6 linked regions of the Mus musculus genome follow. The protein of the gene in region 6 purifies or fractionates together with the protein of the main gene of each other region. This does not show direct contact. Links are inferred from orthologs where the notes say so. Each region holds a gene or a part of one and is shown on either strand. Other genes may lie near its edges.

Region 1 (3,960 bases), on a different chromosome or scaffold from region 6:
TAAAAGAACTTTCATAATTATTTCTATAAAAACCTTTCTCAGTATACATCCTTCTACACAGCATACGCGATATCTTAGTCTAAAAAAAATCACTGTTGATGGTTGAAATGGCATACTGTACTCATTTCACTGTTGATGGTTGAAATGGCATACTGTACTCATTTCAAGGCATTCAAAAGACTGAGTACAACTAGTTCTTGACAGACTCGTAAAAATGACTGGCCTAGTGTCATTTTGAAAGTTCAGTTATTTTGTACTGTCATTCTTTCTGAATTGGGCATGCGTTTGTTTTGCATCAAAAAGGAAGTGGCATTTCTTCTTAGTGATAACCCTAAAGATAGCCAATATCCCATGTTATTCTCACTCACTGTCAAGCTTGTTGTATGACCAGATGACTGTCTTGTGTCTACAAGTCTGGAACACCAGAGGCCATGATGCTCTGAATGATTTCTAGGCTCCCCTCTCCCGTTTCATGGTCCTCAGTGTGGATGCTTCCCTGACTAGATGGTGTGCCAGCCGGAGCTCAAGCTCTGGACCAGACTACTGGTTTCATAGCCCCTCCACTTGCCTGCTAATTAAGGAACTTCACCAGGCCTTAATCTGTCTTTCCTCAGCGTGCCTGTATGTGCTATTGGAAGAAATAGAGCCCCATGCGGAAGTTGTGAGGACTCCAAGTGTGGGTGTATGTACAGTTCTTAGAACAGTACAGGCACTTCCTAAACGACACGAATACTCAATATCTTAGGATCCTTTCTTAGTTGAGCACTCTGTGGGAGGATGCTGAATGCCTTAATCAGTTGAAGTAGAGTAAATAATGGAGTGTGATTTCAGAGTAGTGCATGTTCCGAGGTAACAGCAGCTAGGTCATCTAAGAGTGCTGCTGCTGAAGTGTCTAAGATTGCTAACATTTTACAAAGAAGATACCTGTGTTCAAAACTGTACTTAACATTTCCCTGGCTGCCCCTTAGGGCCAGAGGAAGATCTTCCAAGGAAGATGGAGTACCTGGAATTTGTCTGCCACGCGCCTTCTGAGTATTTCAAGTCAAGGTCCTCACCATTTCCCACGGTTCCCACCCGACCGGAGAAGGGCTACATATGGACTCACGTTGGACCTACTCCTGCGATAACTATTAAGGAAACAGTTGCCAACCACTTGTAGTTACAAAACCAAACCTGGGACATACTTACTTCGCAGGTATAAAGCCTCAGTTTTAACCCTAGAACACACACATCCCAAAATAAAGCCAGGTTTCCAGTTTCCTTCTATTTATAATATAACAAGATATGCCACACTCATTTCTCTTTATAAACCTTTTTCTCTAAGTTCTTGAGATAGGGTCTCATGTATAGCCCAGGTTCAGGTTGGCTTGGCCTTGAGATCCCTGCCTCGTCTGCCTTGTGTGACAGGTGTGTTATGTAGGTAGTTAACGCCAGAACTTCTTCATGAAGTTCTTACCTGGAAACAGGACTTGAGAAAAATGTTACCTACTACCCAGTAGTTGTATTACCTGCTTAGTGCCTGTTGCTTAGAAAATCACAGGGTGAAAAAAGAATGAATTGAAGTGAAATAATAAATTTAATATGTATTTTCCCAGGCAAAGTGGCAGATTCCAGGGAAATCATTATAAACATGTAGTGTCTATTTTTCTTTATAATTTATTTCTATGAACTCATAAAATGAATTACATTTTTATTGGTGTAAAACACTAAGTTTTAGATTTCTCTCTTTTATTCTCTCTCTTCTCTCTGCCTCTGTCTCTCTCTACTTTTCTTTTCTGTTTTTTTTTTTTTTTTTTTTTTTAACCTAGAATCTCACTCTGTACTCCTGGCTGTCCTACTCATTCTGTAGACCAGACTGGCATTGAACTCAAGAGATCTGCTTGCTTCTGCTTCCCAAGTACTGGGACTAAAGGTGTGCGCCGCCATGCCAGGCTTAAGTTTTAGATTTCTGATCAAGAACTAAACCAAAATGTGAGCAGTATGTCTTACAAAGCCACAGTCTTCTCTCTCGAAGCAGACCTTGGCTGCTTTAGTCCTGTAGAAAGCAGCTGCTGGGTGATGGGTTAGCTCTGGCTCTTCACACTGATCTCACACCAGAGCGGTCAGCCACTTCTGTAGACCTGCCTTTGCCTGTCAGCATCAGCTGCTTCAGCCAGATCTTTGATCTGCATGCAGCATCCCCTCCTCTTACTGAGGCAGCAGCCTCTGTGAGAGTGGCCTGACGATTGCTAAGGCAGGGACTGAAAGGTCATTAGTTTTGATAGTCAAAAAACTCAAACCCAGACCATGTGCTGGAAATTTGGATGGTGTGCTTTGGTTGTATGATGGGGGAGTGGGCAGGTACCCACTTGCTGCCTCTGTCCTCATCTATCCAGACAGACCGTTTTAACTATAGGAATTTATGAGAATTTGACTTGATCTTAATGATTTTCATCAAAACTCTTTTACCCTTTTTCTTTAGTCCCAAAGTTGGAAAAAAGCACCTTCGTGCTTACATAAGGTATAATAAAGTTCATTGGAAATACTATTGAAAATGATTTTCTAAATGCTAATATTCCAGTTTTTGATTAAAAAATATTTCTACAGTGGGTTTATTTTGGATTTTTAAATACTTAAAAAGGAAATGGGATGCTTCCCCCAAGATGGTATGAAATAGAAATATCCATCTTTTGGTTACATGGCTCATCGTACAGTGAAGAGTCACACAGTGCTACCGAGGGGCACAGGCTTTAAATTAACCGGTTGACCTTTAGGGGAGATTTGCTGTCCTCAAGGCACAGCATATTTCCCGTGTGCTGTGGGAGGCTGTGCTGCTCGGGTTTCTGTTTTAGGCTGGAGGACAGTTTTTTTAGAGTTTAGAAAGAGAAACTGCATATTAGTTCCCTATCAGATTTAGGATAGGTAAAGATCCTTTCCCAATTTGTTGGTGGCCTTTTTGTCTTATTGACAGTGTTTTTTGCCTTCCAGAAGCTTTGCAATTTTATGAGGTCCCATTTGTCAATTCTTGATCTTACAGCACAAGCCATTGATGTTCTGTTTAGGAATTTTTCCCCTGTGCCCTATCTTTGAGGCTTTCTCCCAATTTCTCCTCTATTAATTTCAGTGTCTCTGGTCTTATGTGGAGGTCTTTGATCCACTTAGACTTGAGCTTTGTACAAGGAGATAAGAATGGATCAATTCGCATTCTTCTACATGATAACCGCCAGTTGTGCCAGCACTATTTGTTGAAAATGCTGTCTTTTTTTTTTCCACTGGATGGTTTTAGCTCCCTTGTCAAAGATCAAGTGACCATAGGTGTGTGGGTTCATCTCTGGGTCTTCAATTCTGTTCCATTGGTCTACCTGTCTGTCACTGTACCAGTACCATGCAGTTTTTATCACAATTGCTCTGTAGTACAGCTTAATGTCAGGCATGGTGATTCCACCAGAGGTTCTTTTATTGTTGAGAATAGTTTTTGCTATCCTAGGTTTTTCATTTTTCCAGATGAATTTGCAAATTGCCCTTTCTATCTCAGTGAAGAATTGAGTTGGAATTTTGATGGGGATTGCTTTGAATCTGTAGATTGCTTTTGGCAGGATAGCCATTTTTACTATATTGATCCTGCCGATCCATGAGCATGGGAGATCTTTCCATCTTCTGAGATCTTCAATTTCTGAGCTCAAGAGGCTGGACTCCAGAAATTCAAATAACCCCATTAAAAATGGGGTTCAGAGCTAAACAAAGAATTCTCAACAGAGGAATACCGAATGACTGAGAAGCCCCTGAAAAAATGTTCAACATCCTTAATCATCAGGGAAATGCAAATCAAAACAATCCTGAGATTCCATCTCACACCAGTCAGAATGGCTAAGATCAAAAATTCAGGTGACAGCAGATACTGGTGAGGATGTGGAGAAAGAGGAACACTCCTCCATTGCGGGTAGAATTGCAAGCTTGTACAACCACTCTGGAAGTCAGTCT
Region 2 (5,334 bases), on a different chromosome or scaffold from region 6:
GTGATATACTCATAATTTGGAATATCATCTCAGCTAAAGGACTGTCACTGTGAAAGAAATACCACAAAAGTTAGATCTATGAAGGAACAAAGACATTCAAAGACTATTTGTTAAATAAACATAGCTAGTTATATATCAACACCTTAGTTTATACAAAGAAAATCATAAAACAACTTTTATACACATCTGTACACATTTTAGGCAAGATTTTAGTTAGGTCATCTAGAAGGAAATGAAGAAAATTAGTGACTGACTGTAGAGAGAACAAGGGGGAAATGAGAAAAACAAAAAACCCTGAGCCATATATCTGATTCATGAATTTTTGTGATGTGGTCATTCATGGATTTTACATCCTTTCACCTTTTACTTCAGTACCACTGTACTCAGATAGTCCCAAAGGTCCAAGGCAAGGGCCTTCTCTTTGAGGCTTTCCCATTTCAGATCTCTCTGGCCTCTGCTTTGCCAGTATCTATAGATCTACTATGGATCAACTCTCACTTATTCTCTAAATTGCCTCTCTGCCAGGAAACTGCCTTCCCCTTAAACACAGTCCTTACAAAGGAGAGAAATTAAGGCAATTATAGAATTCCTTTAAAAATGTCGCTGTGAAGAGACTGAGGCACACCCCTTCCTTTCATAGGTTCATGTAACCAGACTCCAATTGTACTTTTGTGTGTGTCACAAGCCCTTTAAAAGTGAGGGGGGCACATTAATTAGACCATGTTTTCATCTCTTGGTCTCTGCCTAAAATCAAGTACATATCAGCTTTCTCATATGGATACTGGAACATTCTACATGTCTAAAAAAATGAACATTGAGGAAAGATCTCATATCCCAGGCTAGATGCAAACTTCCTAGATAGCTGAGGTCAACCTTGACCTTCTGACCCCCCTGCCTCTATCCTCTAATAGATTGTAAGCATGTGCCACTGTCTGGGCCTGGTCTGGGCAGTGCTGGTGATTCAAACCTGGAGCTCCATGTATGCTGGGGAAGCAACTTTACCAACTGGGCTACACTCGCAACCCAACTGATGGTCTCCAGTCTGAACAAAGGAGGAAAATTACATAAAGATTGCTTAGCATGCTGGATATGGTAGCTAAAATTATAGTTCTTGGAAATTTCCTCATAAGGAAATAGCCTTAAAGCTATTTTTTAAAGATTGATTGGAAAAACCAGAAGTCTTAATTTCAGAAGTCAGTCCTAGTAGTTAATGGCTGCTTCTGGAAAATGAGAGAAACCAACAATATTAATTAAAAAAATAATTCCAAGAAAATATTATTTATTTCTCTACAAAAATGTGCTTTTATATATACATAAAATGTTTCATGACTATTAAAGCCATATAAGTATTATTACAGGAAATACTTTTATGAAGACATCTTGGAACAAAGGAAGTTTCTTGCTCAGAATTACACAGAAAGTCGAAGAGCCAGCAATCAAATCCATCAAATCTGTATTTGCTGTAGAGAAAAATAATGTAATATTTGGAAGTGTGAAGCCTTCATAGAGCACTAATTTTTAATTAAGAGAATAAGATTACGCATGACTATATTGTTTATCCTTCCCTTTTCAGAATTTAAAGCACTTTCTCAGATGGCAGCTTATTAATCTTCAAAATACTGCTACACATCTAAGAAGGTTGTGATATAGCTGGTCTGTAAACTGAGGCCAGAAGGAAGGCACTTACCCTGTATTCTGCAACCAGGAATGGTTCTGCAACCAGGGTCAGATCTCCTGATCCTTACTGTATAGCAAACTTAGCTTTTCTGATGATGACCTAGAAGGTCAAACAAAGAGATGGAAAAGGACATAAAAAGATATGAGATGGTGACTTTCCTTTCCATCAGTAAATAAAATTTTATCTCACACAAAGGACATCAAAGCTGATAATGTAGAAATTCTATTTTTCTTGTAGTTTTATTTTCAGATAAATGTACTTTCTTGTATGTTTATCAATTTTGGAAAAAAATTAATTAATTTCTATTAAGGATAATGTGAAATAAATAAAATTGTAAAAGAACAGCAGTACAAACGGCTGCGAATCCTTCATCCAGCTCCAACAATTACCAACTGAAGGCCATCTTGTTTCATCTGTAACCCCACCCACTGCTCCCCCCCCCACGGTTTTTTAAGCTATCGGGAAAAAAATGACTTCAGAATTCCAGAATATTTCAAATATATACCATGGGAAAAAAAGACAAATCCAGGAAACCCCATCTGCCCACCCCTCACTTTAAATGATTAATCTAGGGTCCTGATGATACCCCTCCCCTCGCTGTCTATCGCTGAAATTATCCTGAAGCAGACCCTAGTCATCCATGGATTTTGAAGCCATTTTCTGACATCATTTAATCCCTAAGCATTTCTATTTCTTTCCACAAAATAAAGCATTCTGAAAACAGAACCACATCGCCACCATAAGCATTAAAAAAATTAATAATTTGACACCGATTTCATTGAAGAATATTAATCCTGCATTTAAAAATCCCCGATACGTCTTCAAGAAAATTTTACAATTGGTGTGCTCGAATCAGGATTCAAACAAGGCCTACTCCTCGCATGTGCTTCAGGAGGTCGTTCTCAATCGCTTTCCCCCCCTACATCCTTTTTCTTTTTGACTTAATGTGGGAAAATTCCGACCCCCACATTCTATTAGCAATTATGAGCTAGCAATTATTTTTATCAGGAAGGCTTAATAAATGCCTGTCGTCATAATTTCTTCTAAGAAAGAGGATGATGTACAGAAAAAGATACGATATCGAGCAAATTTGCGTAATTTAAAATTTTTCATCGCCTCTAGAAATATCTTTAGTAACAATTGCTACTACCTTTCGGGGACAGGCTTCACACCGAATGCCTCACACGCACTATTTTACTAGGCACATCTGAATCCGCGTCTGAGATAGCTACTATTACCATTTTACAAACATGGAAACCGAGACACAGAAAAGAGCCTTGCCCAAGCTGGGCGTTGGCGAGCAGGAATACGAATTCCGCTTTTCCTGAATGAGAAGGCACGAGTTAATCCTATCCATAAGTCAAGAAGAAAAGAGGAAATCATCTACCCTTCCTCCCCACCCCCACCCCGAAACCTGAAACGAGAATCCAGCTCTCTCCAGCAGCCGACGTGTGATCACTGCTGCTCCTCCAACCGCCATAGTAAAGCCAGGTTTCTCTGGCAACTGATATCCATAGGCAGACACGTCACCCTGGAGGCGGGCTTAGCCCATCAGCCAATCCTAGCCGTCTTGTCTGAGTTTTAGAATGTTCCATACCCAGATGATTGGACAGCCGCCCCCACGTCAGCAGTGACACTCAGCCGCAGTAAAGGCGGGTGCTAGCAACCTGCTTCTTCATGCTTAGGGCCGACTGCAAACCAATTAGCATCCTTCTTCAGTGAGGGCTCCCGCCAATGGCGATGGTTCTTTTAGGATCTTAGCCCGCCCTCCAAGTGCGCTCCAGCCGTTGGGTCAGAAGTCTATAGGGCAGCGCGTTCACGTGGCCCGTCTTCACGACCCAGAGTTCCCCTGACCGTGGGTTTTTTTTTTCCCCCCCTCGCGCTCGCCTTCTCTCCTGCAGGGAGGCATTATGGGTTTGTGGGTCCGCTCCCCTCCCCCGCCCCCGCCCCGCTGGGAAAGGAAGTGCCGACGTGGCTGGCGGAAACAGGCTAGGCGGAAATGAGCTAAGGTTCCCGCGAGTGGGAAGAGCGAGGGCAGACCCGGGGCCACGCCCCCGAGCCTGTTGCGCAACTCGCGGACCTGGGGAGAGAGGAAAAAAAAACACCAACGCCCCCCCAAAAAAACCAAAGGCAAAGGAATGGTGAAGGTTTTGAGGTGTGAGGCGTGTGAGGGTGGTGAGTGCCACTGGGCGGATGCCTGGATGCTTTGGAGAAACGGGGTGTCTGCGCGCACGCGGGCGCAGGCAGGCTCGCGTGGCTGTGGAGTGTGGGTGTGGGCGCACAGCCGCCCTCGTGGCGCTGGCGATGATGGGTGTGCGCAGGCGTGCTGCCCTGGTGGGGACGGGAGGGGCCGTGTGTGAGTGTGTGTGTGTGTGTGTGTGTGTGTGTGTGTGCGCGCGCGCGCGTGAGCGTAGGCGAGGTCCCTCATTTTGGTGGATTTTTCTGCCTTTTTTATGTTTGCAAACTGCATTAATAAAACTGAGAATAACTAGGACAGTGCTAGTATCTAAAGGAAAGGGCTTCTGTAAGAAAAGGCCTGCCGATTTAATCAAATTCCTTTCTTTTCTTTGCCTTTTTTCGTTTTTTTGTTTGTTTTTGAGGCCTGTTGTAACTAGGTAGCCCTGGCTGGCCTGGAACTCGGAGATCCACCTGTCCCTTCACGGCCTTCGAGCGCTGGGATTAAAAGCATGCGCCACTCCACCCAGTCCGATTTAATTTTAGACCCTAGAGATGATCATTATTCCCACATTATAGTCCACCAAAATAAACTTCTTCCATGGTTAAGATTCAGAACTATATTAGTAACGTAAAAGGGCGTTTCTTTCAAGTTTCCAGTTGTACACCCCCTCCTCTCTGTCCCCAAGGCCTCCCCTTTGCCCTTCACCAAATTTACTGCGAATCTCCCTTATGCCCCCTCACCAGGTTTATCGCTAAATTGGCACACAAAATTTTAATGAAAACATAGGCAACTAAATTCCCCAGTGATAGAGACAACTCCAGTTTCCTGTGGGTGGTGAGCCTCACCTACCTTTTTTCCTAATCTCCAAGCGGAGTGATCAAATACACATTCGGCCAATTTTCCAGAAAGTTCACTGGCTGAGCAGTAAACCTCTTGAATCTGCCGCTAGATGTCACCAAATCCCAGCCAAAGGAGTTACTGCTTGGTTCCCAGGGATTGTGAGATTGATTTTTTTGCTCCACCCACTTCTTATTTTATGGGCTCCCTAATCTCTGGCTGACTCATATATATATCTTAAATTCCTAAAGATGAATAAGATCAAGTTCTGTGAAGTAACAGTACTAGGCAAGGAATTATATATCCGAAAATTCTGGTTAATTTCCTTAAGCAAAAAAAAAAAAAAAAAAAAAAGTCACCTGTTCTGGCACATCTTTTGTTTTTTCTCAGGATTGATAAATGGGCCTAAATTCTGATGCTAAAACCCTTCGTGAGCTGTGGCGCAGCCGCAGTATCAGCGCTTGGGAGGAAGAAGGGCCGCAAATTAAAGGCCAGCTTAGATTACATATTGAGGCCCCGTCACTACATAAATAAACCAATGAAAGAATATTCTTTTTGCTCACTTTTTTCCCCTCTTGAAATTTTTATCAGGTACGTGTGTTGGCCCCTCAGGTTTATGTAGTGGTTCTGTGCTGTCCGG
Region 3 (5,463 bases), on a different chromosome or scaffold from region 6:
ATATTAGCCAACACTTTAAAAAAGAGAAAGAGAGAGAGAGAGAGAGAGAGAGAGAGAGAGAGAGCGCACGAGTGAGCGCGCTGGGCCATGGTGGTGCACACCTGTAATCCCAGCATTCAGGAGACCCAGGCAGGAATGATTGGCATAGATTGGAAGTCAACTTGGGCAAATACAATGTCAAGTCAAACAGGGCTTCACAGTAAGATTGTCTCAAAAATTATAGTAAAAGGAAAAAGAGAAAGAGAAGAAATTTAAAAGTCCTAGTAATATATCAAATAAAAAAGTAAGCAGCGCAGACTCAAGAACAGGGTACAATGATGCACACTTTGGAGGCCAAGGCAGGAGGATGATTGTGAGCTCAAGGCCAAGCTGGGCCCTCCTACATCCCAAATAGAAAAGAACAGCAAAGGAAACTGGACCAGAGGGGTTTCCTCCAGGTGGATCACACTTTAGAGGAAGTAGAGGCCAACAACAAAACCCACAGGCCCTCACTGCCGCCTTACTCACTCCATCACAAAAAAAAAAAAAAAAAAAAAAAAAAGCAAAGGCCAGCGGCAAAGCTTCCTCCAGGATAGTAACTTTTGTCCTTGAAACATTAAAAGCCAAGGTGGGGTGCCCTTATAAGCAAAAGTGTCTTGGAGTTAGAAATAGGAATGTCCCACATAACTTCTGACCACAGTCCTACTTTGCCCAGTATCAGCCATCTAAGTACAAATACATCAGGCTCTATTCCACACAAACCAAGGGATTTCGGAATGTAGGTGGAACTGAGGAGAGAGCCCTCATACACCTTTTTAAAAACAAGAAGCTAAAAAGGGCGGCACAAAACAAAGAACAGGAACCCCTCCTTTCCAATCAGAATGGGAACGAACAACCCCCCTACCCCACCCCAGGAGCCATCTTCTCCCAAGCACTAGCCTCGGGTCAACTGTTGCTGAACAGAACAAGAGGCTATCTGGGTTCAAAGTAGAGATGTGGGGTTTGTGTGCAGGGCAGAAAGGTGATCTTCTGGCAGAAGATAGTTTAAACTCTTTTGCAGGAGTGCTCTGGGCTGAGCGGCTGAGAAGGATCAAGCAGCGCAGCGGGTGATCAACCCAGCCCCACCCCCACCCCCTTCAGTTGGGGTGGGAGAGCTCACAGCTTTCCAGCTCTCAGCTGCTTAAAACTGCCTTTCCGGAGCCACCGAACACAATCCTGCCCCAGCAGCAAAGAATTTTGAGGCGAAGGGCTCGCTGAACCAGAGCAGAGAAGAGAAATCGGCGCCCAAGGGCAATTTTAATTGTCTAACCCGGCCCGATTTCCTAAGAGGCAGCAGCGGAGTAGGGAGGAGGGAAGGGGGAGGAGGGAGGCAGCACCGGAGTGGCAACAGGGGGCAAGATGCAGAGAAAGGGATCAAGCCTGCAGAGCCTAGCCCTGGTCCTCAAGAAGCTTCTGCAGAAAGGGCTCATGGGCTACCTCCACCGTTCTCCCGAAGACGTTTGCAAATCATATATGCAGCCAAAATGGCGCTGAGAATAAAAATATAATTTAAAGGCAGGTCGCCATATTGTAAACACAGAGGCAGAGAAGTGGTCTTGAGAGACACCATTCATGATTTCCTGCACCATCGTAAGCACCCGCTCTCCTGAGTCAGGACCAGGGTTAACTGGGTGGCCGAGGCTCCGCGCATTAAGCCCAAGGAGAGCCCAGCCAGGCAGGAGCCCTAAGGGCGGCGGGCGCGCGCGGCCGCCAAGCGGCACTGGACCTGGAGCTCCTCCCCTTCCTCCCCCGCCGCCGCCGCCGCCGCCGCCGCCGGCCGCACTCGGCCGCTCAGTCCCGGCTCCCAACCTACAACCAATCTCAGATGGGGCTCACCTCACTCCTCCCAACCCCCATCCCGGGGTCAAGACACGCCGCTGCTCCTTCCCGCAAATTGGCCGGATCCCGGCAAATACCAAGGGCGCAGAGGCGCTCGCCCCAGCGACTAGAGAGTCGGCTAGCGGCTGCAAGCTCCCGTTATTTCTACAGGCCTGGTGAAGGAATGTGCTGAGTAGGGTCTGCCAAGGGGCTCCAAAGGGGTCCCCAGCCCTTACCAGCACTGGAGGTGGAAGGCGGCAGGGCAGTGATCGCAGCACAAGAGATCCCCACCTTCCTTGCAGCTATCGCAGCTGTCGTGGTTGGTGGCCCTGCCGCTTCTCCGGGACTCCTTCTCGGGCTTCCGACTCCGCTTTTCTGCCTCGTCCGTCTTGGGGGGAGCCAGCAGAGCTTGGATTTGCTGCACACACATACAGACGGCATGTGTGCACATTCGGAGCTCCCGGGTAGCCCGTAGTCCCACCGGCGCCGCTTCTCCGTCACCCACCCCTCTTCCCCCTTTTGTCCTTCTTCCTCCCATCCAGGCTGCTTCCAGAACCTCTCGGTCCCCGGAATCAAGGGGAGCCCACCCTAACTGCGTTCCTGCAGCACAACAAGAAAAGCTCCTTCCAAATGGGGAGGACCAGGGTAGGGGGATGGGGAGAGGGTGCGCGGTTCTCTTCTTGCCACTTCCTTGTATGGACAGTGGGGGACTCCAAAGCCCGGCTCGGGAGAGGCCCGAAGCTTGGTACCCGGACGTGCAGGGGGAAGCACAAAGGGGCCGACAAGAAGGGGGTGGGGAGGCCTGCCGGTGCAATGAAATGGAGTGGGCTGAAGCCTCAGGGAGCGAATCGAGGGCGGCTGGTAGGTGAAACTGCTGCAGACGTCCTCGGAAGCTAAGCTCAGTCCCCCAAATTGCAAAGAGGGGAGGAAGAGACTGGGTGAGGAAGAACAACCCCCCCTTTTCCCGGCCCTCTGGCGCTTCGAGCTTAGGGCCGGCTTTGTGGGGCGGAGGTACCCTCCTGGCACTGGGGGGAAAAGGATGAGGGCCACTCTTACCTCCATCAGCCCCCCCGACGTGTCCAAGTCGTACACGATCGTCTTGGTCTCCATTTTCTCCCACATTCATCCACCTCTCGGGCTGGGCGCTCTCTGCTCCGGCCCCCCCAGCCCCGGGGGGAGGGGGGAGGAGGGGAAGGGGGCACCTCTGACCCCCGGTCCCCTTCTCTCTTCCCAACACAGGTTCCGACTTCCTCGCCCTGGCTCCCCCCCACCCCCCGGCCCCCAGTCCCTGGGACGGCAGCGTCCTCCCCACGGGCCGCGAGAGGGGAGCAACCCCTCAGCCCCGGCCCAGCGGCTGGCTGCACAGTGGATCCCGGCTCCGGGGGTCAGGCCTCGGCGGGGGCCTAGGCCCACAGGCTAAAGCTGGCGCTGGCGACCGCTGGTCCGGCCGGGAAGGCTAGCGGGCGCTGCCATCCCGGGCTTGGGGGACCGGAGGGGGGGGTGAGAGGTTAGGTGAGGTTGTGGTTCGTGAGGTGACTCTGGGGAGGATGATGGGGGGTGGTCCCCGGGCTCCGCCTCTCGCCGCCGCTGCCGTCTGCGTCCCGGCTGCCGCGCACTTGGCGCAAACTTACCGCGAGCGCCCGCAAAGCCACCCGCGCAGGCGCCCCGGGATCGCCGCTCGCCGCGCGCAACCGCAGTGACAGCCGGCGGCCTGGCTCCCGCGCAGCCGCGGTGATGGGGTACCCCCCGGCGCGCAGCCGCGCTGGCATTCGCCCGGAGCCCAGAAGCCCCGCCTCTCCGCCGTGCGCCGGCGTACTGCGATTGGAGGGCGGAACCTGAGGCCTCGCTTAGGCGCCTGGGAAAGCGCGTAGGGGTCACGGCGCAGCCGCAGGAACTGGAAGACGCATCACCCATTGGTGTTTGTGTGCGGACCACGGGCTCTGGTCCCGCGCAGGCGTGTTGGGTCGCCACCCTCCCGTCCCCTCACACAGCCGCCTCACGCGCAGGCGCGTTGTACCTGGAGGCCTGCACAAAAAAAAAAAAAAAAAAAAAAAGCTTCTCCTTTCGCCATTTTGGTAATGAGATTTGGGGCTACCATGCCCTTGGAGTCCTCAGTCACGACCAAGGAGGAGCGTGGGATGCTGTATGGAGCTGGTAGCTTTCGGCTGCAGCAGTACCCATATGGATGGTGTAGTGGACTGTTTGTCTCCAGTGTCAGGTGTGTCTGGACTAGGCCGCCATATTGGTAAAGAGGGAAAAAAAAAGCATTGCGACAAAAAAAAAAAAAAAAAAAGACGCTTTTGGTGGCAGATCGGATGACTGCTCTTTCCACTTCATTTCCACTCTCAGCACCTAATTTTAGCACGAGCATTGCTGCCTTGGGTCCCGATGGAACCCAAGATATTTCAAGCTGTTCTTACCCTCTCTTAACCACTGTCCCTGTGAACTACTCCGAAAGAGGAAGTCAAAAGCCCAAACAGTCCGTAATCCTGACAACGCCCAGCTACCTGCCTACAGCTGACTTCAATCCCCATCTTGCAACGCGCAGAGTTCAAAGGGTGAACGGGACCGCTTTGCACTCTGGTAGTTAGACTCGCGATGGATCTGATGGATTGTGGGAGTTGTAGTTCAGCCTTCAGGCGCTGCACTGGACCATAGGATGTACACGAAGAAAAGCCTGCCGGGAAAGGATACTTTTGAGAGCTGCCGTATTGCACACTGGGGTTTGTAGTTTGAGCCCCTCACCTCGCATTCTGAGCAGAGAGACATACCTCTCTTTGGGTGTGCGCTGTTATGCCCTTGTTATCACTTTCCAATATGGACAGATACTCTGCCTAATTGCGAATGAATGAACCCCACTAGGCATTAATTAACACTGGTGACATGCAGCTATGTCCTGCCGTTTCTTTCTTTCGTTTGTTCGTTCTGTTAAGACAGTCTTACTCCGCAGCCCTAGAACTTGTTATGTAGACTAGATAGGTCATGAACTCACAGAAATCCGACTGCTTCTGCCTCCGGTCCCATTTCTGGGATCGACGTGTGCTACTACGCCTGGAATCTCCTAAACTCATTTTTATGTTACTACACACATTATTCTCAGACCCGTAAACCTGGGAGGGACTTAGAGACTATTTGATTTAAATTCTTCATTTCCAGGTACAGAGTGGAGAGTGGTTTGCTTAGACGCATATTGAGTTTATAGCAAACCTAAAAAGGAAACATTTCTTGATTCACAGGTCAGACTTTGTCCCCTACACCGTGTTTACTGTCTCTGAGAAACTATTGCTCCTTCTTTTAGGACAGTCAGGACTGTAAGTCAAAGGGGATATAAATATCTGTGTGAAGTTTTAGTGCTTTGTGAAGTTTTAGTGCTCTCTCTCTCTTTGTCTCTCTGCCTCTCTCTCTCTCTCTCTCTCTCTCTCTCTCTCTCTCTCTCTCGGCCCTGTATTAGTGCCTAGAAAGAATAACGTTATGGGGAAGTGAAGAATGCATGCAAACTGGCTGCTCTTCCGTTGCTATGGCCAACAATAGACTAGCAGCTATAGGAAAGAACTGCGGTGTGACTCTCAGAGGAGAGAGCTGAGCTAGGCTCCTTGAAGGGAAGAAGCCAGGCTTTATGCCTCCTTC
Region 4 (4,722 bases), on a different chromosome or scaffold from region 6:
GATAAGCAGGCGACTAGCTGACCCACGCAAAGCTCACAGTGATGGACTCAGTACCTCCACCCAGCACCAAGCACCTACTACCCAGGCATCAGCCCCATCCTTAGGGACAAGCCAACAGCCAAAGGAGCCCCAGGGGTCACCACCATACCTCGACTACCACCGACTACCACCCTCAGGACACAGCAGCGGCCTCCACAACACCAAGGTGCGTGTTTTAGTCAACCGCGCTCATTCAAGGACTTGCCCAACTGAGAGAGTCTGCCAAGTTTACACATAGCAGGCCATCCTACATGCCAGGCCACCAGCAGGGACTGAACCCTGAGCCCGAGAGAGTGGATGACTTAAGGAGGGGACCCAGGAGCCCCTCTTAAGTCCCTGGCATGTCATCGTGCTGGTGTGACAATGGAGTCTCTCACTCTGGTTCAGCGTCCCTTCTCTGGGCAAGCCAAACAGACCAGTGTTCACCTCCCCAAGAGAAATCGGCGCACCACCAGTCCACAGTTTTCTATTAACTAACCTGCTGGGTGGCAGTGGCACAGGCCTTTAGTCCCCTCGCTCAGGAGGCAGAGGGGGGCGGATCTCTGTGAGTTCAAAGCCAGCTCTAGTCTACAGAGCCAAGTTCCAAGACAGCCAAGCCAGGTGGGGGATGGTAGCCACACACCTGCAATCTCAGATACTTAGGAGCTCTTCAAGGCCAGCCTAGACTCCAGAGGCAGACCCTGCCTCAAAATAAAACAGAATGGCGCTGGAGACACAATGCAGGGTTACAGCACTTGTGTAGCAGTATCCCAAACCCTGGTTTAGCCATGATAGATGAAACTATCTAACTCAAGACTCAAATGTAAATTGTCCTTGGAGACCCTTTGTTAAAGCCTGCAACTTAGCCTTTTTTACAAACTACCAAGCCAGGGCCCCAACAACCCCACCCCAGCCGCAGCACCAACCCACTTACTTTGCTGGTGTACTTGGCAATGTCTGCGGCCACGTCGGCCGAGGCGGTGGCAATGGGAAGGTCGGCATTGATTGCAGACGCCAGGGTGCTTGCTGAGCCCGAACTGCTGACCAGGGCTGCCGGCTGTGTGCTGGTCACCAGCGTGATGGTGGACGTGGATGGGCTCTGGGTGACCTCCTTCTGCTGGACAGCTAAGAAAGCAAAGGGTCGGGTCACTCCACCCATACAGAAAAGCACATCCCAGCAAACAGCCGGGGCGAGGGAGGGAAGTCTTCTTATAGCTTCCCCTAGCCAGCGTTTGAACTACGAATGCCAGTGTCTCACCTTGCCCAAGCTCGAGCCTGGCTCCTCTGAGCTCTCTTCTCCACTAGGCGCCAACCTTGCACTACAAAGACCTAAGCAATCATCTTCAGGAGCTAACTCAAGGCTGTTCAGTTTAGGGGACTTAATCGAGCCTTGAAGCACCAGGCTACCAGAAGGACTTAACAGCTGGATGCAGCCAACATCTGAAGACGTGAAACCTCTGTCTTTCCATCTCTATGAGAAGGTAAGAACTTTGGCCATTCATTGGCAAACCCGGACAGCTTCACAAACAGACCCTCTGGCTTTCATTACAAGGCCTGAGCCCTTTCTACCTTTGAAAGTGCCAGCCACCCCTGCACCAGTCACCCTGGACCCCTTCCTCAGGTATGACAGACCCAGTGTCCTACTAATTAAAATCACTTCCTGCCTGAAGGGAGTAAGAGTCTGTCACTCATTAAAATCTCAGCCCTTGACATCTTTGGTGTTTGCAGTGTTGGGAACTTAACCCGGAGCTCTGTGCATGCTGGGTGAGCATTCTACGCAACTATACCCGTGACCCAATAACTTTACCGATCCGTCAGCACAGCGCTCATTAAAATCAACGCCTTTCGTTTTAATTGGTGGCAAAACAGTACCACGCTCATTGAAGTCAGTCCTTGCCACAGCGGCTAAAAAGGCAATGTGGTATGAAGAGAGTAAAGCCACTACTTGGCCATTTTAATCACTGGTGGTTACAGGAGCCTCTGCTGATCAAAGTCTGACCCAGCAGGCTATATATAAGGCGTGTTGAGGGAGTAACCACTGCGTCAAGTCTGTCTCCGCTGCTTTACTGATTAAAACTGGCCCTTCCCAGTTGCAATAAGCCTTACAACCTGACACAGGACTATCTGGAAGCTGAGGACCCTACTGCCACCAGGTCCTGGCATTGCAGCCACCTACCCTATCTGCAGGAGACAGCCTTAGATAGAAACAGAATCCAACAAGGGGTTGCCCTAATCCCATGTCCACTGCAGTACTTGAGAGCTCACTCTAGACCTGTCCAGCTTTTCAGGCCTTCTCCAGCCACCTGGCCTTGAGTCCCTGAAAGTGTCCCTGTGACTGACCTGTTACCTCACTGGGATGAGCTCTGGGAGCATGGGGGAAGGACAGAGCGAGTGTGAAGGAAGCTCCTTTGCCCCAAGAAACCAGACCCACATTAGTGCTCCTGAAGCTGGGTTCAGACAATTGAGCGGAGCCATCAGCTGCAGGACAGAGACTGGCCTCCAGCACTGAGTTCTCAGAGGCCGGCTCACCTTGGCAGGGGTTTGGAAGGAAACTGTCCCCCCTACCGATTCCTCACACTCTAAAGACTTTCCCACAAAACGCCTGGAGATTCCCAGATGCTCACAAGACATAGTCATTGCAGCATATCTTACAATGGGAAAAACTAAAAGCATCCTCAATGCCCACCAGCAGGTGAACACCTTAAATGAACTAGGGAATACTATGCAGCAGTCCAAAAGGATAAGACACAGACAGACCTCTAAAACATGCTGATGGGTGGGAGGGAAGGGGGAAAAAAAAAATCAAGAATGGTACCATTTTTGCTTTAAAAAAAAAGAAAGAAAGAAAGAAAAAAGACAATATTTTATGGTATAATATTATATGGTATAAAAACAAACGTATAGGCATGCACTGGGAGAGGCATAAGGACAACAAATGATTGTCACAGAAGGGTGGACAATGACAGGGACAGCGAATGGGCCCACATTGAGCATTCTGAATTCTACACACATATCCTGTCCCCTCTGTAAAGAGGAAACACGTATCACTTATAAAACAGAATAAAAAAAAATCTTTAAAAAAAAAAATCAGGCAAATAGTGCTAGCAAGCCAGTTTTTAAAAAAATAATTCCATATGGGATGATAAGGCCTGCGGTGACCATGACACATAGGGATGTAGGGGAAAAATTCAACAAGGGTGGCCTTTCTCCTGTTAGTGTGGCAAAAAGGGGGTGGGCGCCACAGAGAACAGAAGGGGGCGCGGTACCTTTCACAGCCTGTCTGGTCTGATATCTCGTCCCCTGGGAAGACTGAGGCTGCTGCTGCTGGCTCTGCTGTTGGCTCTGCTGTTGTTGTTGCTGCTGCTGCTGCTGGCGCTGTATCTTCTGCATGTGCCACTTTTGGGAGGACGTTTGAAACTTACTTGATGCGTTCCACACGACCCGCTGCACAGCTGGGACAGTCTCCTTCGGTAAGAGCGGCCTCTGCTTCTTCACCGGGCTTCCCGTGACGGCGGTGGCCGGTGCCGTGACTGTGACGGTAGACATCGTGCTGGTGGTGGCGGCGGCCACGGTGACCCCAGCCGCGGGTGCTTGGGTGGCTGAGCGGGTGAGTACCGGTGTCTCTGGGGGAGACTGGTTGCCCGCCGAAGTGGACGACGGTGGCGGTTTACCTATAGCTACAGCCAGGCAGGGTGGAAACAAGCAGAAACTGGATTGGCTTCCTGAGCTGGGACTTCACATGGCAGGCCAAGTTCTAGGTCAAACCCAGCAGAGGCAGACTGCCTGAAGGAATTTAGAGGGCCCCTGGAGCCCCAAGGACAAGCATGGTCTCTGCAACAGCTATGAATTATGCCTTACTGAGCACAAACTAATATCCCAGATGGAGAAGTCACAAGCCTTCTGGGGGAAGAAGAGAGCAAGACCCAGCCCCCATGCTGAGCAGTAATTAACTAGTGGCCCAGGCTGTGGGTAATGGAGACTGCCTAACTGCAGCCCTTCTTCCCCAGGAGGAGCTCTTGGCAAAAGCAACTGGCTGTCAAAAGGTGTGCACACCAAATCTACTTTCCCCTTTGACAAAGCCACTGGGAGGGGCGACCTAGACATTTAACAAAGGAATTCAGCCCCAGGCCAGAGAACCTTCTGTTAACACCTTCGGCCCAGCCTAGCCTGCATTCTGGATGTGTCTGCGCAGCCCTTCATGGATAGCAAACAATGCTGAATTTCCTATCCTACAATGGTCAAGTCTAAGCCCCCTTTTTCCCTAGACAGGCTTTCTCTGTGTAGCCCTGGCTGTCCTGGAACTTGCTCTGTAGACCAGGCTGGCCTTGAACTCAGAGATCCGCCTGCCTCTGCCTCCCATGTGCTGGGATTAAAGGCATGCGCCACCATACCTGGCTTTTTAAAGTTTTCTTAAAAGCGTTAAGTTGGGGGCTGGGGATGTAGCTCAGGGGCACTATTCGACTGCAATGACCTGGGCTTAAGTTTGGAGGGCTGTGGGCGGGACGGGAAGTCAGTGGAGAAGCTGCACAGTATACTGAACTTACTTATAAAGAGGAGATTGGGGGTGTGGGGGGAGCCTGGAGAGATGGCTCAGTACTTAAGAGCACACTGACTGTTCTTCCGAAGGTCCCGAGTTCAAATCCCAGCAAACACGTGGTGGCTCACAACCATCATCATGATCAGATCATGAGATCTGATGCCCTC
Region 5 (4,722 bases), on a different chromosome or scaffold from region 6:
CCACTGCTGTGGGCAGGAGCACAAAGGCACAGACTCACTGCTGGATCATACATACAAAGCTGAGGTGCTTAAAGAGAAGTATTGGGGGAGGCCATATCAACTGCTGGCTGTGATACGCTGGGCAGGGTGGGCTGAAGAGCAACATGGTGCAAGTCAGGCTCTCTGGCTCCCCTCAGGGACAGGACATCCAAACATCCCACAGTGGTCACAAGAGGTCAGACCATGAGCCACTGTGGGTGTGACCTCACCGACCACTAGTAGACGCCACTGCCCCATAGCAAGTCAGAGCCCATTGCAGATGTGACCCAGCAGACACAGGGATGAAGAGCAGTCACTGCCAGCATGCAGCTACTTCCACACAGCTTGAAACCTCTATGCAGAGTCAGGGTGAGGAAGGTTTGCTCATCAAAACACCCTGAGTGGCCCCTGGAGGCCTAAGCACTTTCTGTTTATGTACTTTACAACAGGCCCTGGTCTCCATGCCTAGCACCATAAAGGATAGGCAAATAAGTTCTTGGGGCCAGTGTGATGGTTCAGCAGGAGAAGGCACTTGCAGGCAAGCCTGACAGCCTGAGCTGAGAGCTCTGTCCCTGGACCCACACAGGGGAAGCAGAGAGGCCCATCCTGCAGGCATCCTGACTGCACGGCTGTCACGTCTATGCACACATAAATGGATAAATATACATAATAAGAAGGTCATTAAGCCCTGGGACGTAACAGCTTTCTAAAGCACTTCCTGTGACTGACTGGGCTCAGAAGACATTTCCCCAGATGGCGCAGCTTTGGGCCAGGACTCTCATTTTGCATGTTAGAACAGGTGGGGTATAGGGATGGACTTAAGAGATGGCTACAGTGCTAAATGCTATGAACTATGGATGCACTTTAAAGGGTTAATTCTGTTGTGTGAATTTCACCTCACTGAAACAAAAGTATAGACTTGCTGTGTGGACCCTGTGTTGAAAGGACCAGTTTCCAAGGTGACAGGAGAGCTCCCCTGATCCTGCCCTCCCCTGACCAGCCTCACCTGGCGGGCAATGTTCTGCACTAGCTTGTCCATAGTGAAGCCAATGTAGGCATGGATGGTGAACATCTCACGGAGAGTGTCCTCATACTGTGTGGGGTCGATGCTCCCCTCTAGCAGGCTCCGCACCATGTCCAGGAAGGCCGGGTAGTACTCCTCCAGCTCCACTTCACCTGGGGAAGGAGGGTGGTCACTTGAATCTCTTGCTGAAAGCAGCAGCCCGGACTCCCTAAGAAGGACTTGCTAAGGAGGCCCTATCCCTGGTCCACCACCACCCTCCATTAAAGTGGCCTAAAGGGACAGAGGCTAGCCCAGAGCCTCACTCAGCCCAGGCACTCACTAGGCTGCTTGAGTCGCAGCTCCATGGCAGGGTCTGCAGCCTTCTCACGGCGGCCCTCGCACAGCAGCTGCTCCCTCTCCTGCTCTCGTCGATGTTCCAGCAGCTGCTTCTGCGCCTGCCGGTAGATCTTGAGCAGGCGGGCGCACAGCGTCTGGTGCAGCCGCAGGAAGAAGTACCAGTTGTTGTTGGCAAAAAACAGACTGTACACATCGTCCAGGACCTTGGGCGGTTCTGGAGATGCATCTGCAGGGGGCTTCTCATCTGTGGGCCGGCGGCGCTCAGGCTCAGCGCTGTCCCGGTCCCGGTCGCGCTCATCAGCAGAGTCATCGGAGGTGCCGGGGCACTGCTGCGAGAAGAACAGGCTGGGCAGGAAACGGTGAAGCAGCTGGCGGATAGTGCCCTGGTCCTCTTTCTGAATGGCTGGCTGCCGCTTAACATAGTAGCTGATGAGTGCTGCTGCGTCCTCTAGGATCTGTCGGTCCTCATACACGAAGATAAGGTGCGGCTCGCTGGAAGGCGCACTGCGGCCCTCTGAGTGCTGCTCCTGGTGCTGCAAAGGGTGGCAGTCAGCGGGCATGGCCTGCCCATCACCCAAGCCCCACTTCCAGCATAACCTCCAGCCTCCTTAGAAAGGATGAGTGATCTTGGCACACACCGAAGGAATAGGGTTATCTATCCAACCTTTCTCACAGTGTCACAGCTGCCCTGGTAGGGTCCAGCTCCCAGCCAGTCTACAGCTCTCAACTGGGCAAACCAAGGCCCTCTCACTGCAGGTGGATGTTAGCACTAGAGGACTGTAATGAAAGGAGAGACTTCCCACAGACCTGGCTAAGGAGTAAGGTCTCCATAAGGTGAGGCTCAGAGTTCAGAGTGGCCCAGGAGCCTTCAGCCATCTGTCACTCACTCAGTTCCACTACTCCACAGGGCTCTTGGTGCCGCCCCCATTCCATTAAAACAGCTTACCACCTGCCTAGCTCCTTAACCAACAAGAAATGAGGGGTGGGGGAGATTTCCCCCAGGTTCTTAGAGACCTTAGCCCTCAGCCTAGTGTCTGCAGTCATCTCTTGGGTTGAGCTCCTTTCTGCTGTGTACAAGGCCTCTGAGCATGTCCAGGTGAACCTCTTTCCCATACACCACCCCTTAATGTTGATGTGGATAATGGCATTCCCAAACTCAAAGGTGACCACTACTTGATCCTCCCTCAACCCAAGGAGCTGTCTTTGCACTTAGGCCCTCGGTCGATGGCAGCACCAACTCCAGACACTGTCTCTTTAGACAGGGCTGAGTATCTTCTCAGCTCTCATGGTCAGTGCACGGTGAGCTTCTGGGGGTCCCTCAAACACCATCTCTGGCAGGATCCAGTCTGTCAGTTTGTAGATCACACTCCCTAACTGAAGACCAGGAAGCTCAACTCAGTACTTTAGAGACCCATGGCCAGAGTGGGCTCAATGACCTAGCTACTACAGTGCCTCAACACAGCCTGGGACTCCTCTGACCTTCCAAGACCCTTGTTTTGTTCAGGCCACTGTGCTTTGTCAGCTGGGCCATTTGGAAAGAGGAGCCATGGGAGGAACTGCCTGCATCAGGTTGGCTCATGGGGCATTTCTTAGCTCCTGCCTCAAGTTCCTGCCCTGACAGCTCTGAAGATGAACCCGAAGGCGAAATCAACCCTTTCCTCCCCATGTTACCTTTGGTCATGGAGCTTATCACAGCACAAGGGCAAATTAGAATCTGGATACAAGTGTCCAAAGGGCTTACTCCTCCTTGGTAGAGCCAATCCCACTGAGAGGGCTCATGGACAGATGACACAAGAGTAGCTCCCTAACAGGTATTATTGGGAAGCTGCGCAGGCTTCCTGTGCCTGTCCTGAGATCTCATGTTCCCATCTTGCTAGAGCCTAAGCAATGGAGGAGCTAAGGCAGCTCTGGGCTGAAATTTCTAAACTCATGAGCCAACACTAGCTTTCTTCTTTTGAACGGTGTCTCTCACATGCTTGTCATAGGAATGGAGACTGATTTAGTAATATATGGACACCTCAAAACTCTTTTTTTCCCATGTGGTTACCTCAACTTTTAACCTAGGCCTCAAATTAGGCAAGTGTTCTTACCCCACACTACCACTTCTGCCTTCAAAGGTCAGGCCATGGGAACTGCAGAGATGGCTCAGCAGTTAAAGGTGCTTGCTGTTCTGGATTTCCAGTAGCTCACAGACACCTACCTGCATCTCTAGCTCTAAGGGCTAGCACACCTCTGACCTCTGAATGACTTAGGTGCAGCAGAGAAAGCCCAGGAAACGTCTAGCAAGCAGCTCCTTTCATACCTCAGTTTCCCCATCACTAAGGCAAGCATGGTGTGGGTTCAGGTGTGAGGAGATTGGTAGTCCCTGCCCAGCATGCCTCACCTCATCATAGACACTTTCGATCTCATTGAGCAGGCTCTTAGAGCGCAGTGCCTTGGTGTCATTCTGCTTGAAGTTCACAGCCTGGTGGTCCAGGGACTTGAGGTATGCTTTCTCGTACTGCTCACGCCAGATCTTGTTGAAGCCCTGCTGGGCCTCCCGCCACTCCTCCTCCTTGGCCTTCAGCCTGTAGGGAGAGGGGCTCAGTGCCTAACAGCTGGACCCTCCTGTGACCCCTGGAGAAGGGCCCAGCTTCCTCATAGCAATTACACATTTGGTCTACGTGGCAACAAGCAAGCCAGCATGAGGGAGGTTAAGGCAGAAGGATATCCAGTTCTAGCTGGCCTGGGTTACAGTAAGAAAGCCTCATCTCAAAAACAAAACAACAAAAAAAAAGAGCCTGGCATGGTGGTGCAAGAATGTCATCCCAGCACTTGAGGAACTGGAGTCAGAAGGCTCCCTGGGCACATGGTTAAGTCCGATGCCAGTCTGAGCTACATAAGACCCCATCACCAAAATAAACAAAAGAAAACAAAACAAACACCTCCCACAGAGAGGGGGAAGAAAGGGGAAGTGGTCCTACAGAGCCAACATGGCTACTTAAAAAATTTTTGTATTTATTATTTCATGTGCATGTGTATACCACATGCATATGGTGACCCTGTGGTTACAGACAGCTGTGAGCCACCATGTGGGTGCTGGGAATTGGACAGGGTCCTCTGGAAGAGCAGCAGTGCTCCTAAATGCTAGCCAGCTCTCCAGCAGTGGCTGGTTAAAGTCCTCCAGCTCCTCCCAGACACCCAGCAGCCCACACAGCTCTGACACTAACCCCGCTGAGCATCACAGCTCAAACCTGTGGGCTAGCACAGGGCTTCATGGCATGCCAATAGACAGTGGGCTAGGGATCCTTGTGTTTCGGTCATAATCCACACTTTGAATCCCAGGTCTCAACCAGACCTAAGTG
Region 6 (4,722 bases):
GCATGAATGATATAATTTCCTTACTTGAATTATCAGGGTAAGTTGTCATATAACCAGAAGGCTGAAGTAGAATCTGTACAAATGAATACCCACCTCAAGAAAAATGTAAAAATTTATTTATTTATTTATTTATTTATTTATTTATTTAGAGACAGTGGAAGAGCTAGGTTAGGAAGGTACTTCTAATCAAGATCACAAGAGAAAAGAGAAAAGAAATACTGTCTTTTGGTTTTTTGAGACAGGGTTTCTCTGTGTAGCCCTGGCTCTCCTGGAACTCACTCTGTGGACCAGGCTGGCGTCAAACTCAGAAATCCGCCTGCCTCTGCCTCCCAAGAGCTGGGATTAAATGCGCCACTACTGCCCGGCTAATACCGCCTTTCTTATTTGAAAGAAAATAATAGTTTTAGTTTTTAGAAACTTGAAACCAGTGTATACATTGAAAAAAATAGATTTAAAAACCATAGAATTTTCTTTTTGGTAGGTAGCAGATACATCTGACTTAGTAACTTTTTTTTTTAAGATTTATTTATTATATGTAAGTACACTGTAGCTGTCTTCAGACACACCAGAAGAGGGCATCAGATCTCATTACAGATGGTTGTGAGCTACCATGTGGTTGCTGGGATTCGAACTAAGAACCTTCAGAAGAGTAGTCAGTGCTCTTAACCGCTGTCATTCTCCTGGTAACATTTTTTTTACTATTGACTAGTATAAATGAAGACTTGATTCATTTAATAGGCTGTCATTATAAAACAGCATAGGATTTCAAATCCCATACAAAGCTGGTCATTTTTCTAATTCGCTTACAGACTCCAAATACCCAAAACACTCCTCTTCAGCTCCCTTGCAATAGTTGGCATTTATAAGTGCTGACTTTCCTTTATTCTACAGCCTGTTACATCCTAGTTTTTCTCTGGTTACAGCAGGATCTTTTCTTTATTTCTTTGAGCGGGATGGGGGATGTTCTATTTTGTTTGAGACAGGGTTTTCCTATATAGCCCTGGGTGTCCTGGAACTCACCCTGTAGACCAGGCTGGCCTTGAACTCAGAGATCTGCCTGCCTCTGCCTCCTGAGTGCTGAGACTAAAGGTGAGCACTACTAACTACTGCCTGGCTGTTATCAGTTTCATAACTATACTTTTGCTTTCTTCTGAGGCAAAACATGGAATTGAGTTTAGTTGGGAATAATTAAGTTGCTCTGAATTTACAGGAAGCAATATCACAGACAGCAGTGGTCTGAAATACATAGGAATCATCTAGAATGTCTTAAAGTCCACACTTAGTTCTTGGAATATGTACTTTCCTTTGCTTAATAAACTTAAAATTTTGCCACAGTGATCCCAACACTCTGGAGGCTGAGACAAGAGGATCTCAAGTCTGAGCCTGGCAGAGTGCTGTACTGAAAGATGAAGATGAGGCTAACCTAGGCTACATAGTAAGACTGTATGCTTAGGAGGGAACACCTAAAGAATTTAATTACAGGAGGGGAAATGAACAGATATTTAAGAACAATACAAATATTTAAGAATGCTTAGAACAGAAATGATAAAAGATAATAAAAGCCAAATCGCAATATTTTATAATTTTTCCATCCTTTATTATAAACCCAAAACTTACTGACATGACTTGTTTTACAAGCTATGGAAGCATTTTAAAACCACTCACTTTCCCTAAATAAAACGTATTTACCTAGCCAAGGCCTCCTTTGTCCTCTGGCTGTGTTAAGGGACTTCTTTGATCCCTTCATAATTCTTTGCTCCAAGGTCTAATAAAACTTATGATTTTAAGTGCCTTCCTGTATTGCCACCACAGTAACCAGCCTTTGTATTGTGAAGGGGGATGCCCGTAGCCCTATTGTAATGATAGATCTTGTCTGATAGGACATTAAGTATAAGGTTGCCTTCTGAACAGAAAAGCCTGAAGTTGCACTACTTTCCTACTTTACTATTAGCGCCAAGGTTTTAAGTCACCAAACTAAAGCCCTTTTGTGCCCCTCCTAGTCACTGTAGGGTCTGAAGGATCAGTGTTTGCCTGGCATCTGCCGCTGACACCTGTCACTTTCTCAGACTAATTTTAAACCCCAGAGTTAATCTATTGACCTGTGTCTTTGACTGTTGTAATTGGTTAACTTGTAAGATTTGACCTCTGATATTTGCTAACTTTTTATAGGGAGTTGTATTTGTAACGGAAGAAGAGAAGAATAAAAAATAGTAGTTTTAAAAGTGGCCTATGTGACTGCTTTTCTAAAAAGGTATTTAATGCTCTTAGTACTTTGGCTTATCTCTTTGAAATAAAGCTAATCCACAGGATTGCCTCACATTGTTGTCCTCTTCCTTTCTTGATTGTTAATTGCATTATTTTAGAGCCTAGAAATTGTTAATATTAGCTAAAACTACTTGGCTGCTCTATTAGAAATTTCTTTTTTGTTAAGTATTCCCCAATCATGTTTCTGCCTCACAAGGAACCCCAGGTATTCATGAGGGAATGGAGTACCTAAGAGGCCTAATTTTGTGGACACACTATGGTAAAATATAATTTGGGGGTATTAACTTCTCAGCTTCTTTCTTTGAAAAATAACCCCATAAGAAGTCATATCTATCTCTGGATATCCCAGTTGTTTGCTCTTCTAATTCCAAGAAAGTTCTCTGGTTTGCTTTTATTCTGGCCTTACTGTTATGATGCTAAACATCTCCCAATCTTTATCTCCTACAGGTAGACTGGGTACAGTGTGATGGTGGCTGTGATGAGTGGTTTCATCAAGTTTGTGTTGGTGTATCCGCAGAAATGGCTGAAAATGAAGATTACATCTGTATAAACTGTGCAAAGAAGCAGGGGCCAGATAGCCCAGGCCAAGCACCACCTCCTCCCTTCCTAATGAGCTACAAACTACCAATGGAGGATCTTAAAGAGACCAGTTAGCAGATGTCTGGTTAGCTTGCAACATGGGGGGAAGTGGACCACATTGAGACCTTACTCATCAAGCAGAGTGGTTCCGACCACTCAGAATGTTGTTTCCAAAGATGAATGGACTTCAGAAAAAGTCCTCTTAGTGCTGGCTTCCTCTCTGCATGGATTGTGTGGGCTCCATTCTCTTATCATCTGTGCAGAGGATGTCTTCTTTGGTGCAGCAGCCAAGTATTTCAACTCTTGATTCGTTGAGTGTGGTTTGCTGAATTAAGGTCAGGTTCTAATGGAACTCTCAGGAGGCTGTTTGGCATTAATACATTGATGTGCTTAGTGGGGCATATAAGAAGTGGCTTTCGACCAACTGATACTTGTTGTAGACGGTTACAACCTACAGGTGGTGCCATTGGAAGGCCCTGACCGTTTAAATATCCTTAGTTAGGATAATTGGACAGGAGTCAGAGCACAACTTTGTAATTACTGACATTTATGCCCTACTGATCCAGTTAAGAGAAGCAGGCCAAAGTTATCCCTTCTAGAAGTCTTGGAGTGGCAGTGCAGTCTATGACCTCAGCTGCTTGTGTTTATTTAGACCAATAAGAAAATCCTCCAAAAGATCCCCTCACTTTCCTCAGGAGGATGTCAAGCAGGTTAGAATATCTGATTAGACTGGATTCTGGGAAGAAGGGGTTTTTTTTTTGTTTGTTTGTTTGGTTTGGTTTGGTTTTTTCTTACTTCAAGGCAAGTAGGCCATTGGTTTGAGAAGTCCATCTGGGTCTGTGTTTTAGAAAAGAAAGGTAGGTACACAGATCCAGGTTTCTGGAGGGAGTAGGGATGACTAATGAGAATGTTTTACTGAGCCTCGGTGATGCATGCTTATCTGGGAAACCCTCATTCACAAGTATTCCAGACTCCACCATGCTTCACGCATGGCCATGAGCAAGACTGGCAGATAACAGCTTTTGCCTTGCAGCCCTAACCCCAATGCCTGTAGTTTCCAACATGGCCTCAGCAGATATTTGTGAATAACACCATGGCTTCATCAGAGGATGTGGGGCTGTAGGTCCTCTGGGTGTGAAGCTGTTCTAGTAAACCCATTTTTAAAAAGAAAGACTTGTTTTTACTTTTTTCTAAATGTCTCTGACTACTGACTGTTCTATAGATTATTTTTCCTTTTTTGATATACATATATGAATATAGATATATATATATATATTTACTGTTACCAGCAGCGTATGATAGAGTTTGAGCATCAGAAATCCATTTGGAAGCTTGCATTTTCTTTCTGCTTTTTGATAAAGAAATCCCATTCCTTCCTTGTAGTACAAGGAGTTAGCACTTCCTTCTTCATTCTCACCTAAACATATCTTCCACTTTTCTTCTATTCAAATAGATAATATATTTCCTCCATGTTGGGACTTGTCCCTGTCTGTTGGGCAGCTTGGTCTTATTCTAGTCAGTGCTGAATGTTTTGTATGTCTGAAACTATGGTGCTGTGCCCCCCCCCCCTGCCCCTATTGGGTTCTGTGTTCTTACAAAGGTCTTAGGTGGACTCTGTAAACTCCTGCTAGAAGGAGAATAATATATTTTAAAGGACAAAAAGGTTTTCTAAAAATGGTGTTTATCTTCACTATCCTTTGTTCTTTATTTTGGTTTAAGAATCTGCAATTTAACTTAAACTCATCACTTGTCCTGTTAAAGGGGCATTGAGCAAACCTAGGAAGTTTGTAGCCTCTGTTCCCCTTTACTCCAGTCTCTTAAATAAATGTCTTCTAGTAACTAGAAGTGAGATGTACTGTCCAGTTACAGACTGTGTGG

Evidence for each region.
Region 1: the proteins of Kdm5a (region 6) and Gatad1 purify together in Homo sapiens (affinity purification with mass spectrometry; 6 studies listed by BioGRID and IntAct, with this or other methods). This does not show direct contact. The link is inferred for Mus musculus from reciprocal best matches to the Homo sapiens genes KDM5A and GATAD1.
Region 2: the proteins of Kdm5a (region 6) and Morf4l2 purify together in Homo sapiens (affinity purification with mass spectrometry; 4 studies listed by BioGRID and IntAct, with this or other methods). This does not show direct contact. The link is inferred for Mus musculus from reciprocal best matches to the Homo sapiens genes KDM5A and MORF4L2.
Region 3: the proteins of Kdm5a (region 6) and Phf12 purify together in Homo sapiens (affinity purification with mass spectrometry; 3 studies listed by BioGRID and IntAct, with this or other methods). This does not show direct contact. The link is inferred for Mus musculus from reciprocal best matches to the Homo sapiens genes KDM5A and PHF12.
Region 4: the proteins of Kdm5a (region 6) and Zmynd8 purify together in Homo sapiens (affinity purification with mass spectrometry; 3 studies listed by BioGRID and IntAct, with this or other methods). This does not show direct contact. The link is inferred for Mus musculus from reciprocal best matches to the Homo sapiens genes KDM5A and ZMYND8.
Region 5: the proteins of Kdm5a (region 6) and Sin3b purify together in Homo sapiens (affinity purification with mass spectrometry; 4 studies listed by BioGRID and IntAct, with this or other methods). This does not show direct contact. The link is inferred for Mus musculus from reciprocal best matches to the Homo sapiens genes KDM5A and SIN3B.

The regions. Positions count from the first base shown.
Region 1 is NC_000071.6:3,638,589-3,642,548, reverse strand, and holds the end of Gatad1 (GATA zinc finger domain-containing protein 1), read left to right. Parts: intron 1-968; coding exon 969-1,159; 3' UTR 1,160-2,588; downstream 2,589-3,960. UniProt on the Homo sapiens protein: Component of some chromatin complex recruited to chromatin sites methylated 'Lys-4' of histone H3 (H3K4me), with a preference for trimethylated form (H3K4me3).
Region 2 is NC_000086.7:136,738,118-136,743,451, forward strand, and holds the start of Morf4l2 (mortality factor 4-like protein 2), read right to left. Parts: upstream 3,236-5,334; 5' UTR 3,093-3,235; intron 3,039-3,092; exon of another isoform or gene 2,829-3,038; intron 1,778-2,828; 5' UTR 1,688-1,777; intron 1-1,687. UniProt on the Homo sapiens protein: Component of the NuA4 histone acetyltransferase complex which is involved in transcriptional activation of select genes principally by acetylation of nucleosomal histone H4 and H2A.
Region 3 is NC_000077.6:77,980,807-77,986,269, reverse strand, and holds the start of Phf12 (PHD finger protein 12), read right to left. Parts: upstream 3,455-5,463; 5' UTR 2,959-3,454; coding exon 2,893-2,958; intron 2,255-2,892; coding exon 2,073-2,254; intron 1-2,072.
Region 4 is NC_000068.7:165,804,235-165,808,956, forward strand, and holds part of Zmynd8 (protein kinase C-binding protein 1), read right to left. Parts: intron 3,696-4,722; coding exon 3,285-3,695; intron 1,144-3,284; coding exon 953-1,143; intron 1-952. UniProt on the Homo sapiens protein: Chromatin reader that recognizes dual histone modifications such as histone H3.1 dimethylated at 'Lys-36' and histone H4 acetylated at 'Lys-16' (H3.1K36me2-H4K16ac) and histone H3 methylated at 'Lys-4' and histone H4 acetylated at 'Lys-14' (H3K4me1-H3K14ac).
Region 5 is NC_000074.6:72,746,908-72,751,629, reverse strand, and holds part of Sin3b (paired amphipathic helix protein Sin3b), read right to left. Parts: intron 3,946-4,722; coding exon 3,762-3,945; intron 1,912-3,761; coding exon 1,362-1,911; intron 1,195-1,361; coding exon 1,025-1,194; intron 1-1,024.
Region 6 is NC_000072.6:120,436,275-120,440,996, forward strand, and holds part of Kdm5a (lysine-specific demethylase 5A), read left to right. Parts: intron 1-2,712; coding exon 2,713-2,919; 3' UTR 2,920-4,722. UniProt on the Homo sapiens protein: Histone demethylase that specifically demethylates 'Lys-4' of histone H3, thereby playing a central role in histone code. Does not demethylate histone H3 'Lys-9', H3 'Lys-27', H3 'Lys-36', H3 'Lys-79' or H4 'Lys-20'.